Linked DNA regions of Oryctolagus cuniculus. The protein of the gene in region 1 purifies or fractionates together with the protein of each later gene. This does not show direct contact. Links are inferred from orthologs where the notes say so. Each region holds a gene or a part of one and is shown on either strand. Other genes may lie near its edges.

What was found. The genes of interacting proteins can lie anywhere in the genome.
Region 2: the proteins of MMS19 (region 1) and DNA2 purify together in Homo sapiens (affinity purification with mass spectrometry; 3 studies listed by BioGRID and IntAct, counting the BioPlex papers as one, with this or other methods). This does not show direct contact. The link is inferred for Oryctolagus cuniculus from reciprocal best matches to the Homo sapiens genes MMS19 and DNA2.

What each region holds. Positions count from the first base shown.
Region 1 is NC_091446.1:32,352,955-32,360,289, reverse strand, and holds the start of MMS19 (MMS19 nucleotide excision repair protein homolog), read right to left. Parts: upstream 4,611-7,335; 5' UTR 4,550-4,610; coding exon 4,435-4,549; intron 1-4,434. Other genes in the region: UBTD1 (ubiquitin domain-containing protein 1), read left to right, coding at 5,432-5,501. UniProt on the Homo sapiens protein: Key component of the cytosolic iron-sulfur protein assembly (CIA) complex, a multiprotein complex that mediates the incorporation of iron-sulfur cluster into apoproteins specifically involved in DNA metabolism and genomic integrity.
Region 2 is NC_091446.1:60,349,599-60,357,135, forward strand, and holds the start of DNA2 (DNA replication ATP-dependent helicase/nuclease DNA2), read right to left. Parts: upstream 4,385-7,537; 5' UTR 4,250-4,384; coding exon 4,176-4,249; intron 2,555-4,175; coding exon 2,372-2,554; intron 226-2,371; coding exon 42-225; intron 1-41. UniProt on the Homo sapiens protein: Key enzyme involved in DNA replication and DNA repair in nucleus and mitochondrion.

The DNA of each region.
Region 1 (7,335 bases):
GAGTTACACAGAGAGAGGAGGAGAGGCAGAGAGAGAGGAAGAGAGGTCTTCCATCCACTGGTTCACTACCCAGTTGGTAGCAATGGCAACGGCTGGAGCTGTGTTGATCCGAAGCCAGGAGCCAGGAGCTTCTTTCAGGTCTCCCACGCGGGAGCAGGGGCCCAAGGACTTGAGTCATCTTCTGCTGCTTATCCAGGCCATAGCAGAGAGGTGGATCAGAAGTGGAGCAGCCGGGACTCAAACTGGCACCCATATGGGATGCTGGCACTGCAGGCAGTGGCTTTACACACTATGCCACAGTTCCGGCCCCAATTGTAGAGTTTTAAGATGTTAAGTTTAGAGGCCAGTGCCGTGGCACACTAGGTTAATCCTCCGCCTGCGGGGCCAGCATCCCATATGGGCATCAGTTCTAGTCCCGGTTGCTCCTCTTGCAGTCCAGCTCTCTGCTGTGGCCTGGGAAAGCAGTAGAAGGTGGCACAGGTCCTCAGGTCCCTGCACCCACATGGGAGACAAGGAAGAAGCTCCTGGCTCTTGGCTTTGGATCGGCGCAGCTCCGGCCGTTGCGGCCATTTGGGGAGTGAACCAACGGAAGGAAGACCTTTCTGTCACTCTCTGTAACTCTACCTGTCAAATAAATAAATAAAATCTTAAAAAAAAAAAAAAGATTGTGGGGAGCAACCGGACTAGACTGAGTTACTGGAATTAGGACTTATTCTATGCATCTGCTCTCCCACAATATGGCGCTGGGAGAGAAGTAAACAGCTTCTACGCAGCTGCCTCCAGTTCAACTAATAAACTGTAGGACTTGCTCCTGATTGGAGGAGAGCAGCGTACTCGGCGTGTGGGCAGCCGAGTTAGGATTGGCGGAGGAGGACTATAAAGGAGGAGAGAGACGGCATGCACCAGGAACATCTATGGGGAACATCTAGCTGAAGGAAAACCCGTGCAGCCCCCGAGAAAGCCGGCCGGCGGTGTGCCGCTCCCCTGCGGAAGTGGGGAATGTGGCCAGGGGGAACTGCCCTTCCACGGAGGTGGAAGGGATAGTAGCCAACCCAGGAAGAACCAGCAGCAAACCCGGGGAGGGCCGAGCAGATGAAAAGAACAGCACAGGGTCCTGTGTCGTTCCTCCACGAAGAGGGGGAGCGACATAATGGTGCCGTGACTCGGATATGAAGCCTAGGCAGGGTTTAGTGTCGCTCCTCCACGAAGAGGGGGAGCGACATGATGGTGCCGTGACTCGGATAGGAAACCTAGCTTGGATAGGAAACCTAGGACGGATAGGAAACTTAGGAGGGAAGAAACGGGAAGAACTGGGAAAATACCGGAGGAGAGACTAGTAAACAGCCTAGGGAAAAGCCGGACGAAAAGGGTGCCGGAAGAAGCTGTTGAAAGCCTAGGCATAGACTCAGATACGGACTACGGGGGGAAGCTGGGAGAAATCTCTAAGGTCGAAAGTGAAAGCTAGAACAAACAGACTCGGACGCGGACTGTGGGGAGAGGCCAGGAGAAATGAGGGAGGAATATCGTTGGAGGAAAGTTTGGGGAAACATACCGGGTAGAGAAAAATGTTAGGGAAATTGAAGCCGTGGGGGGCAGGCCAAGGCGGACACGAAAGCCACTTTGGGATTCTCAAGTTAGCCCGGGAATGGGGGGCGAAAAGTTGAAACCAGAAGCTGAAACGTAAGCCAGATTGGGATCCGTCTGATTAGCCCGGGGAGCAAAGGACGGGAAGCCAAATCGTGGGGCGGAGACGTATGCTGGGTTGAATTCGCCAGGCTAGCCCGGGGAACTTAGATTGAATGCTAGTGGCGGACACGTAAGCTACGCTGTGTTACTCGCGGAAGCCGCCGCGTGCAGAGAGAGCACGGGGCGTGAATAGATAGGGAACGGGGCTGGCGCGAGGCCGTGGTGCAGACGCAAAGGGCGTGGAGACCGCGGAGCGCGCGAAGCCAAGCCGCGCAAAGCCGGGAAGCTGCGCAGATGAAAGAGGCGCGGGCTGAAGCGGCTCAGCCGGGAAGCCGCCGAGAAGTAGCCTCGGGGCGGGCAGCGGGAAGCTGCGGGGATAAGAGAAACAGAAGTTTAGAAGCAAAGTGAGAGAAATAGGAATGCTGGAAGATAGAAGTAAAATGGGAGAAATAGGAATGCCCGGAGATAGAGAAATAGAGAAATAGAAAGGCCTCCCTACAACACTGCACTGTGAGAGCTTGGATTCGGTCTGCCTGATTAAGTGAGGCGATGAGCACGATGAGCACCTGCGGCGGCTAGCAGCTTATGCGCCGCAGGTCACCGAAGACAGGCACGAATTAACATCAGTAAGGCTTCCCCACAATACAACAATGAGAAAGCTTGGATTCGGTCTGCCTAATTAAGGCGGTAAGCACCAGCAAGCAGCTCGACCAGAGTATGAGCTGCAGGTCACCGAAGATAGGCACGAACCAACACTAATAAGTCTCCCCCACAATACGGCAATGAGAAGGCTTGGATTCGGTTTGCCTGATAGGGCTTGTAAGCCCCTGCAGGCTCGACCAGAGCATGCGCTGCAGGGCACCGAACACAGGCACGCATCAGCGCCTAAAAACCTCCTCACAACATGGCGAAGAGAGGACCCGGATTCGGTTTGCCTGATTGATAGGACTTGTAAGAGCCTGTGGCAACTCTAGCAAGTAGAGCAGAGTGTGTGCCGCGGGACACCGAAGACAGGCGCGTATCAACGCCAAAAAATAAAAAGAAAGGGGGATCTGTGGGGAGCAACCGGACTAGACTGAGTTACTGGAATTAGGACTTATTCTATGCATCTGCTCTCCCACAATATGGCGCTGGGAGAGAAGTAAACAGCTTCTACGCAGCTGCCTCCAGTTCAACTAATAAACTGTAGGACTTGCTCCTGATTGGAGGAGAGCAGCGTACTCGGCGTGTGGGCAGCCGAGTTAGGATTGGCGGAGGAGGACTATAAAGGAGGAGAGAGACGGCATGCACCAGGAACATCTATGGGGAACATCTAGCTGAAGGAAAACCCGTGCAGCCCCCGAGAAAGCCGGCCGGCGGTGTGCCGCTCCCCTGCGGAAGTGGGGAATGTGGCCAGGGGGAACTGCCCTTCCACGGAGGTGGAAGGGATAGTAGCCAACCCGGGAAGAACCAGCAGCAAACCCGGGGAGGGCCGAGCAGATGAAAAGAACAGCACAGGGTCCTGTGTCGTTCCTCCACGAAGAGGGGGAGCAACAAAGATGTTAAGTTTAGGGGCCAGCATTGAGGTACAGTGGGTTAAACTGTCACCTGTGATACCAGTATCCTGGCTGTTTCATTTCTGTTTTAGTTCCCTGCTAATGTGCTTGGAAAAGCAGCAGATCACCCAAGTGCTGGGGCCCTTGCCATCTACATGGGAGACCCAGATGGAGTTCCAGGCTCCTGGCTTCGGTAGCGCCGGGCCATTGCAGCCACTTGGAGGGTAACCAATAGATGGAAGATCTCTCAATCAATCTCTATCTTTCCCTTTCTCTCTGTAACAGCCTTTCAAATAAAAAAATAAATAGGGGCAGCATCAGACATTTGCTGTGTGATGTTTGCAGACCACCTTGCATTTACCTCTTATAGCATGGCTGTCTCTCCCCCCCCCCCCCACACACACACTGCAAGTTCTTGGTGGGCACAGATCTAATTTGTATTTATAGTCCTGCTCTGCATCATTTTTGGAGACCGTGTTCAATAATGGTGGAATGACTGGTTGAAAGTTTTAGATTTTTTTTTTCCCTAAATGAGCTAAGTCTCAGAACCCAAGCAAGTCTAGGATTTTTATTCCAATCTTTAACAAACTGCCAGAACTAAGAGATTCCCTGAACAGGTCCAAAGCAGAGGAGACAGGGGATCTGGGAAAAAGATAAAAATAATGCCGCACAAAAGTCACGATGCAAAAGTAATCAAGAACTTCACCAAGACACAGAGGGAAAGTCTAGAGGCGGATGCGACACCACCTCCAGTTGCCCCGACTGGCCGCTCGGCTCGCTCCGACTACAGCCACTCCCAAGATGCCGCGCGCCGCGAGCGGACGCGCCCAGCAGTCACCTCCCCACGTCAATCTCCACAAACAATGTGGTCTCCCGGAGCCGGCAGCCCGAGCCACCTGAACTCCCGAGTCTGAGCCCCAGCTCCCCTCCCGCCCGCGCCGCAGCTCTCCGGGCCTGCGTCTCCTCGTCAGTGACATGTAATGACGGTCTACCGTTGGCTGTGAGGAGACGTCGAGAGTAAAAGCGCTGTATGGAAGATGCGCGCGACTCTCCAACTTGTTACGCTTCTTAAGCTCGATGCTCACTAAGCAGCCCTGAGACTGATCTCTCAAAGTCATCCTGCCCCTCACTCCCTTCCCGCTCCGCGCCTGTGCTGAGGCCGCTCCCTCCTGTCGGCCCCCAAGCGGAAGGGGCCCGGCGCTGTCTGCCGTACCTGCAGCCACCTGGTCAGCGGGGCCCTCCTGCTGACCCATGACGAAGTCTTGCACGAGTCCCCACAGGGGGCCCGTAGGCGCCGCCGCCTCCTGGGGAGCGGCGGCGGCGGCCATGACGCTAACGAGCGACCGTGGGAGGGGAAGGAGGCGGAGGCGCGAGACAGGCTTGTCTGCGCACGCGCCCCCTGAGCCAATCGCTGGGTGGATGCCGCGGGGGCGGGGCGCTCCCTGGATCACGTGGCCGCCAGCTCTTGATCGGGCAGTTCCAGGGAGGGGAGGGTAGAGGAGGGGAGGGAAGGCCCCTCCCCGAGGGGTGGGGCCTGGGGCCGGGGCGGTGGCGCGGAGAGCGAAGGCGGCTCGCTGGGCACGCAGTCGGGGGCCATTGAGGGCGAATAATTCCCGGCCCGGCTCCCCGGGAGACGGGCTGCGGGGAGGACACCTGGTTGGGTGGGGCCGAGGGGCGGTACGCACCCTGGGGGAAGCCAATGAGAAAATCAGGCCCGGCCCAAGGGGGCGGTGCCGTCGGTCACATGCGCACCTGGGGCGGGTGGCGGCGGCGGCGCGGGCACCGCGAGCCGGCGGAAGGGAGTGGGGCCGGGCTGGGGCGGGGTTAGGCAGGTGAGTGACAGGCTGCGGGGGGCCGGCCCCAGCTGGGAGCCCCAAGCGAGCCGGGAGTAGCTGCGGCGGTGCCCGCCCCCTCTCTCCGCCCCTTCAGCGGGGCTGGTCTCCGGCCGGGCACCGTCGCGGGCCCCCCTGGCCCGGCCACCTGGGACTGAGCAGGGGAGTCGGCCACCTCCCTCCCTCCCTCCCCGGGTCCGCAAAGTTTGTGGCGAGGCCGGCGCCGGGGCAGAGCGCGCCCCCCCGGGGGGAGATCCGGAGCGTCAGATGCCGGGCGGCAGGAGCCGTTGACCCGGGACGCCGCCGTCCGGGGCAGGGGCGCGGAGCAGCCGACCACCCCGCCGCCTCCGGTGCATGGGGACCGGCTGAGGAGCCAGCATGGGCAACTGCGTGGGGAGACAGCGCGGGGAGAGGCCAGCCGCCCCAGGACACCCCCGCAAGCGAGCAGGTAACCACGGGGAACGAGCAGGGCCACGGGCACCTCGCCGGTCGGCCCCTGCTCGCCGGGGCCCTGGGCTCCCGGCGCGACCTCCCACGGCCCCTGGCGCCTGGGCTCTCCCAGCGCAGCTCCGAGCCTGACGAGGCCGGGGACGCCGACCGGGCTGCGAGACCAACTCGCTCCAACTGGGAAGCTCCGGGTGGCCGGTGGGGGCGGGGGCAGGAAATGTTCGCAGACCGCAGCGGGGCCGCCGCGGGGAGGAGGGCCGGGGGCGAGGGCGCCGGCGGCCTGGCAGCCCGGGCCGGGGTCGGACGCCTGCCCGTCGGGGCGCGGCGCGAACTGCCGGGCGGCCCCACGACTCGGCACGGTCGGTCGCTCCTTCCCGAGACTGACTGTGTCATTCTCGGGCTGCGGATCGCGTCTGCCGGAATCCGACTTGCAAAAGCAGCGCAGGACTCTGGGAAAGAAATCTTTATTTTTTTTCCCCCCGCAGGGCTTTTTAGAGCCTCCTGGCCGTCTGGGAGTTGTGGCGAGGTGGGGTGCGGAGCGAGAGGCGCCCTCGGGTTTGCGGGGCTCCGCGCCAGCGCTGGGAGGGGGCCGCGCCCTCTGGGGATCCGCGGGACCGGCCGCGCCGTCTCACTCTCGCCGTGCGCCCCTTCAGTCCTGGCGCTCGGCCCCTCGGAGAGGGCCGGCGGTCATTCTGGGTCTCACTTCCTTCTCCGAGGGTGTTGCAAGGACCTTCTGAGAATGATAAAATCATAGACTGTAGTGCTCGGAGGAGCGCCGAAACTTGTCTGGGTTCCAGACAGATCCGCCTCCTCCGCTCTGAGTAAAAGGCTGGGTCCCGAAAGGCTGGCGGGTTTGTCCAAAGTCACACAGCGAGTGAGCCGTGCGAGTGGGGCTGGCGGCCAGCGTGCTCCTCCTGCCCGTTGCCACATAGCCCTTGGTGGAAGGGGAGCCGGACGCAGAGTTGTGAATGAAGTGGGAACTTCAGTTTCCCACCTGCTCCGACGCGGAAGCCGGGAAGGAGGATGGGAAACCGTCGGGGAGGCAGGGAAGGATGTCTGTGCGGTGCACAGGATGGCTTGTGGCGGAAGAGACGTGTTTTCATAGGATGGAGGGGTGAGACTTAACTCCGAAACCCCGGTGTCGGAGGGCAGCCCGGGCCATTCTTCTGACTGAGGAAAGTGGATGGGCAACTCAAGGGCTTCCTGCCTTCCTTCCGTTCTTTCATTCATCCCACAAATATTTGTTATTTTTGCAGTGAGCCCTGGTAACTGATTTTGTAGCATTTTCCTCTGTTGACACCTGCCTTTACTTGAAACTCTGCCCCCTTGCCTTCTTGGTTTTCCTGTCTGGTCACTCCTGCCCACTGGCGCTGCCACCTCAGAGGAGCGGGACTCCTGCGGTGCAGTCTGAACACTTTTTCTCTTACTATGCTCCTTCCCATGGCTTTGTCCACTGGGAAGACTTTTTTTTTTTTTTTTTTTTTAAGATCTATTTTATTTATTTGAAAGTCAGAGTTACAGAGAGGGACGGAGGGAGGGAGAGAGAGACAGAGTGCCCTTCCATCCACTGGTTCACTCCCCAAATGGCCTCCACGACCCAGGCTAGGGCAGGCGGAGGCCAGGAGCCAGGAGTTTCATTCAGGTCTCCCATGTGGGTGCCCAAGCACTTGGGCCATCTTCTGCTGCTTTCCCAGGTGCATTAACAAGGAGCTGGATCAGAAGAGGAACAGCTGGGACTCGAACCAGTGCCCATATGGGATGTTGGAGCGGCAGGCGGCAGCTTAACTCATTATGCCACAAAAGTCGGCCTCGACTGGGAAGACTCTTACACTTGA
Region 2 (7,537 bases), about 28 Mb from region 1:
ACAAGTACAATGAAATAAATATTAAAACAAATGTTATTTACCCTAAAGGTTTCACTCAAGACAGCTCTTCTCATACATCGAATACTACTGGCGATGCTTGTGCCGGAAATCAGCATGTCTGGATACAGAATCAAATATCCAAAATCTTCATCTATTATCCAAGTATCAGAAGTACAGTCCCCCTCCAAATGAATGATATCCCCTGGCTGTACTGGAACAGAACACCTGCAAATTAAACAAAATGACAGGATAAACACATAGTTTAAGTGCCTACATTAAAACCTAGAAAGAAGGCTTTGAAAATTAATGAATGTTTTATCTGAAGAAACAGTAAGTATTTCTAAGTTTCTAGGTCTTGTTAAAAACTGAAATACCAAGATGCAGTCTTTTGAGTCAACTCCTAGTCGCACCATCCCTTTTCACCTGGTGAAGCATCCTGCAGAATATGCAAGAATTCTGCTTAAGCACCAAAGAGGCAACTTACTTAGTGCTAGTAATGTCTATTCCAAAAGCAATCAAATCTATGCTAGTGTAATATATAGATAGATCCAGTTAGGAACTGGGTTGTTTAAATCATTAATTTTGTCATTCTTAAGTCCTATAGCTTCCACTTATTCTGAGGTATAAAGCCAAACCAAGTGCAGCAAGAACAACATCACTTTTATTTAGTTCAATCTCACTCACAGCCAAGGCAAAGACAAAGTTAGGCCTCCACCTTCTCTGCATCTTCCTCCCACCTCCCATGCACCACATCTTGAGTAGAGACATCTAAGGTTTGAGACTGCTCCTACATTGCAATTAATTTTGCTGTTACTGAGAACTAACAACCTTAAAACAGAATGTACTGCAGTCACTGCCCCTTAAGACAGATTGAGAATCCCTAATCTGAATATCTAAAATTTAATGTATTTTGAGTATCAACATGAAATCATAAGTGAAAATTTCCACACCTGTGTGCCAGGTCACAGTCAAACCCACGTGCACTAAAAATACTGTATAAGATTACCTTCAGGGGCTGGCACTGTGGTGTAGTTGGCTAAGCCCCCACCTGGAGTGCCAGCATCCCATATAGGAGCTGGTTCATGTCCTGGCTGCTCCTCTTCCAAACTGGCTCTCGGCTTGTGGTCTGGGAAAGCAGTGGAAGATGGCCCAAGTGCTTGGATCCCTGCACCCACGTGTGAGGCCTGGAAGAAGCTCCTGGCTCCTGGCTTCAGAATGGCTCAGCTCCAGCCATTGTGACCATTTGGGGACTGAACCAGCAGATGGAAGACCTTTCTCTCTAACTCTCCCTGTGTCTATATCTCTCAAACAAATAAACAAAATCAAAAGAAAAAATAGAAAAGAAAAAAAATAGATAGATAAATAACCTCAGGGACCGGTACTGTGATGTACAGGGTTAGACCTCTGCCCGGCATTCCATGTGGGCTATGGTTTGAGTTCCAGCTGCTCCACTTCTGAAACAGCTCCCTGCTGAGGGCCTGTGAAAGCAGTAGAAGATGGCCCAAGTGCTTAGGCCACTGTACCCACATGGGAGATCCAGAAGAAACTCCTGGTTCCTGGCTTCAGATCGGCTCAGCCACAGCTGCAAGAGCCATTTGGGAAGTGAAGCAGCGGATGGAAGACCTTTCTGTGTCTCTCCCTCGCTCTGTCTATAACTCTTTTGCTCAAATAAATAAAATACATCTTTAAATAAAAAACAAAAAAGACTACCTTCAGGCTATGGGTATGTGAAACCTAAGTGGATTTTGTGTTTAGACTTGAGTCAAACCCTCAAGATCTCATTATGTATGTGAAACTATTCTAAATATGACAAAATCAAAATCTGAAATACTTCTGGTCCCAAGTATTTTGGATAAGAGATACTCAACCTTCACTTGATTTCCCAATAATAATAATAATAAATTTTTGAATTAAGAGTCTACAGATGTTGGGGTAATAGATACAATTTTCATGTAAAATTAAGCCAGGTTCAAATCTACTAAATCTAATGAATTAGACATTTGGCTTAGTGGTTAAGATGTCCATGTTCCACATCACAGTACCACCATTTGACTCCTAGTTCCAGCTTCTGGCTAATGTAGACCCTGGGAGGCAGTGGTAAGGGCACAAGCGATCGGATTCCTGCCACCCACATGGGAGATCTGGATTGTGCTCCTAGCTTCCTGCCTTCAGCCTGGCCCAGTCTTAGATGAGTGGGAATTTGGGGAGTGACCCAGTACATGGAAGTTCTCTGTCAAATAAATAACTATTTTAAGCTATCCCTTTTTTACACCATTAAATTATAGGAACATCCACACAAGCCATGTGATGGGTTTTAAGATGCTACCCTGAAGATTGCCAATTCAATGCTCAAAGTCACACAAAAAATTACCAGCCATTCCTAAGGATGCACTGTTCTTTGTCTTCCAGCGACTGGGAAGCAGTGATGATTAAGTGCTTTTCCTGGCTGCCTTCTTCATCCTGTACAACAGTGACTGCTAACACCAGGTATCGGTTATCCATTCCTCGGCTCAAGACTGTTTTTGGGAAGGAAGCTTCCACCTTGTTCTGAAATCTAAAACATATACATACAAAACAATTTTAGCACAAACATGAAATAACAAGCCACTCAACCAGTTTCACCTGTAAAGCAGCTGTCTAGCTTTCTAGGTTTGCTTCTTCACAAAGATCTTCAGGTAAAATTAAGACAGCAAAGAACTCCTGTTATAAAAACTTCCCAGACGCAATGCCATTTTAAAACAAGCTTATGCTAAGAGCTTTTCCAATTTAACCTCTATGAGTTTTGTGGACCATCTATCACTGTCAGGATTAAAAACAAATGGGGAGGGGAGCAGTGCTGTGGCGTAGTAGGTTAAGCATCTGCCTGCAGTGCCGGCATCCCATATGGGCGCCAGTTCCAGTCCCGGCTGCTCCACTTCCTATCCAGCTCCCTGCAGATGGCCTGGGAAGCAGCAGCAGATGACCCAAGTGCTTGGGCCCCGCCACCCGAATGGGAGACCTGGAAGAGGCTTCTGGCTCCTGCCTTAGGGTCGGTTCAGCTCCGGCCATTGCCGCCATTTGGGGAGTGATCCAGTGGATGGAAGATTTTTTCCTCTGTTTCTCCCTCTCCCTGTCTGTAACCCCACCTCTCAAAATAAATAAGTAGCCTTAAAAAAATGGAAAATATTAAACAATGACTACCACTGGAGCAAGCCTTTCCAAAGTATTAGTACAAGACGTTTTGTACACTATTCTCTGTGCTGTGAGGCGTACGGGTGACTTACAGATGAGAGGTAAGCATGGTAGGTGTGGTTTGCTGGAAATCCTGAGACACAGAACTACATTCGTCTTTAAGTCAGGAGCTTGCTTAGAAATCGTCTAGCCCAACCTAGAACTTAGGGTAGGAAATACTTTTATAAACCTGGGGCTAGTCCCTGCGTGGTCGGGAAAGCAAGCTTGTCACACCCGTCGAGACTAGCTCACTCGTTCATAGAATAACCAGATGTTTTACTGATAAAGGGCCAGTGAATTTGGTAATCCTTTTACGCACTTGTCCAAGCCGCCTGAAACTCTACAAAAGAATTCTCCTGTAGAAACCCGCGCTGTTCCTAGTAAGTCCCTCTGAAGTCCTCTCTGTTCGACCACAGCAGGTGTTAACCGGTGTGGGGCCAAACGAGAGGCCAGAGCCATTATCTCCCGCAAGGCGTGTACCGAACAGCCTTCCTGTAACGCTACAGGCCACCCAGCTCGCTCACGGAAGGCTGCACGGCTCTGTGAACGCTGCACTAGGCTACCCCACCTGGCTGCAGCCCACGAACAGCCCAAGGCTGGCCGCGAGGCTTTAATGGTCTCTGCAAAAGGTGCAGACGGAGAACCGCAGGCGCAGGCACTGCTTAGCCTGGTTGTCCTTCCGACACCCGCCATTGCGGCTAAGCCGAGGGCTCGGAGCTCTCCCTGACGTTAGTCTCACAACCAAGCAACCATCGACGTACGAAGACACTACCGCAGGAGGCCGGGACTCCCCACATTCGGCAAAGAGGCGAAATCAAGGGAAAGCCTCAGCTGCCGAGTGCGCCCGCAGAGAGCACCGCGCGACGCGGGGTCCCCGGTGCGAGCCGGGGCCGCGGCGGTCTCTCCCGCTCCCGACTTTCAAATCTCCCGCTGCGCTCCCACAGCCTCCCCGCGCCTCCGCTCACAGCTCCGGCGGCGGCGCGGCCTCCTCCCCGAAGGTCTTCTCCATGAGCAGCTCCAGTTCGTCCAGCGGCTCCATCCCGGGCGCGGAGACCACAGACTGTCACCGGGGAACCTCAGGGGAGGGGGGACGGCGGGCAACAACACAAAAACCGCCAAAACGCGGGAAAGGGGCGAGCGTCCGCGCAGCAAGGGCGCATGCGCCGGCGCGCCGAGGCCCCGAGTGACGTGCGCGGGGCGGGCCCGGCAGCGCCGGCGGCTACACGTGGAGCGCCGCACCTGCCCGGCTGAGGCCCTCCTGGCCCCAGGCCTGCAAAACCGGAGTCTTCATACCCGGCCCAGGCTAAAAGCGCAAGGCCGTCGCTCTCAGAGCTCGGGCCCGAGCCAGACACACGCTGTTGGTTTGAGCAGCAGCATTTGGAGTTCGCCCAAACCAGCTGCCTGTGCTGGCCTTTGGAATTTCACATCCGCGGGGAAACAATCTCTTTTTTTTTGCTGGAAAACTTGTTGAGAAAAAGAGAAGTCGTTGGATAGGAACTCCCTCGTAACACAGCGACGAAATCCACAAAACTTCCAAGATCTGCACCCGTCTTAACGACCCTTCCACACTTTTTCGCAATGGTGAATACGTATTCCTCCCAGAAATGGTTACTCCCCCAACCCGTACCCCGGACTTCTGGCACTGTCCATGGCATTGCTGCTTCAGTTACTCCCTCATTCTCTCCTGTAATCAACCTCACCCACACTACTGGATTGCTACCACATTTTTAATAGGACCCAGTTTCTCCCATCTTTAAAAGATGTTAGATTGGGGCCTGTACTATGGCTTAGCAGGTAAAGCCACAACCTGCGCTGGAGACATCTATATGGATGCTGGTTCAAGTCCCGGCTGCTCCACTTGAGATACAGCTATCTGCTAATGCTCCTAGGAAAGCAGCAGAAGATAGCCCAAGTACATGGGCCCCTGCACCCACGTGGGAGATCCGGAAGAGGTTCTTGGCTCCTGGCTTCGGATCGGTGCAGCTCTGGCCATTGCAGCCATCTGAGGAGTGAACTAGCGGATGGAAGACCTCTCTCTCTCTCTGTCTCTACCTCTCTCTGTAACTCTTTCAAATAAATAAAATAAATCTTTAAATAAAAAAAGAATTTTGGCCGGCGCCACGGCTACTAGGCTAATCCTCCGCCTTGCGGCGCCGGCACACCGGGTTCTAGTCCCAGTCGGGGCGCCGGATTCTGTCCCGGTTGCCCCTCTTCCAGGCCAGCTCTCTGCTGTGGCCAGGGAGTGCAGTGGAGGATGGCCCAGGTGCTTGGGCCCTGCACCCCATGGGAGACCAGGAAAAGCACCTGGCTCCTGGCTCCTGCCATCGGATCAGCGCGGTGTGCCGGCCGCAGCGCGCTGGCCAAGGCGGCCATTGGAGGGTGAACCAACGGCAAAGGAAGACCTTTCTCTCTGTCTCTCTCTCTCACTGTCCACTCTGCCTGTCAAAAAAATAAAATAAAATAAAATAAAAAAAAAAGAATTTTGTTGTGCTGTTAACAGTGGGTTAAGCAGCTGCCTGGGAAACCCACATTCCATAACGGAGTGCCAATTGTTGGAGCCCCAGCTACTCCACTTCTGATCCAGATTCTTGCTAATACACCTGGGAAGCAGCAGATGGCGCCTAAAGAACTTGAAAGAAAATGAGAATAAATCTAAAGAGTATAAATAAGGACAGCAGTTTCTCAAAGACAATAAACACTGAATTACCATATGAGGTAGCAACTTTTTTTTTTTTAAGATTTATTCATTTATTTGAAAGGCAGAGTTACGCAGAGAGAAAGAGACAGAGAGATCTTCCATCTGCTATTTCACTACCCAAATGCCTGCAACAACCAGTTGAGCCAGAGTAAAGCCAGGAGCCCAGAAGTCCATCTGGGTCTCCCACGTGGGTGGCAGGAGCCCAAGTATTTGGGCCATCTTCTGCTGCCTTCCCAGGTGCATTAACAGAGCTGGAAGTGGAATAGCTGGGACTTGAACACGTGCCCATATGCAATGCCAGTTTTGTAGGTGGCGGCTTAACCTGCTATACCACAACACCAGCCTCAAGACAGCAATTTAACTTTTGGATCTGCACCCAAAAGAATTGAATGTAGGGACTCAAACAGAGAATTGTAAATCTATGTTCAGAGTGTCATTATTCACAATAAACGAAGAGTTAAAAAAACTCAGTGCCCATAAACAGATAAATGGATGAACAAAATGCATAATTTGATTTGTTTTCATCTACTTGAAAGGCAGAGCAAGAGAGAAAAGAGACAGAGACAGAGACATATCTTCCATCTGCTGGTTTACTCCCAAATTGCCCACAACATCCAGGGCTGGGCCAGCGAAAAGCCAGGAGCCCAGAACTCCATCCAGATCTCCCACATAGGTGGCAGGGACTCACTTTTTTCTTTTTTTAAAGATTTATTTATTTGAAAGGCAGAGTTACAGAGAGGCAGAGGCAGAGAGAGAGAGAGAGAGAGAGAGAGAGGTCTTCCATCCACCTGTCTACTCCCCAGATGGTCACAACAGCCAGAGCTGTGCTGATCTGAAGCCAGGAGCCAGGAGCTTCTTCTGGGTCTCCCACACAGGTGTAGGGGCCCAAGGATATGGGCCATCTTCTACTGCTTTCCCAGGCCATAGCAGAGAGCTGGATCAGAAGTGAAGCAGCTGGGACTTGAACTGGCGATGGGATGCCAGCACTGCAGACAGTGGCTTTACCTGCTACACCACAGCACCAGCCCTGGGACTCACATACTTGAGCCATCAGGTATCTGTGGCTTCCCATAGTGCACATGAACAGAAAGCTGGATCAGAAGCAGAGTGGGTAGGACTAAAACCAGGCACTCTGATGGGGTAGCAGCCATTTGAGGAATGAATCAACAGATGGAAGACCTCTCTCAGTCTCTGTCTCTTCTTCTCTCTGTAACTGTGCATTTCAAATAAAATAAATAAATCTTAAAAAAAAAAAAAAACTGGAGAAATCTTTTATCCACTGATCCACACCTCAAATGCCCACCAACAGCTGCAGCTACCGCAGCCAACAGCCAGGAACTCAATTTGGGACTCCTTCCTGAATGTCAGGGACCCAAGTACTTGAGCAATAGCAGAACCCTGGAACTGGAAACAGAGCTGGGACTGAAACCTAGCCCTGGGATGTAGGCATCCCAAGCAGCATCTTACCTGTGTGCCAAAAGTGTGCCCCTGCTGAACAGTATTTGATTGTGTGAATTCACATTTATTCAGCCAGTCTCCTGATGATGGACAATGACTACCTTTAATGAAGCTACTACAAATAGTCTTCCTTTTTTTCCAAATACTTATTTATTTAATTAATTGAAAGGC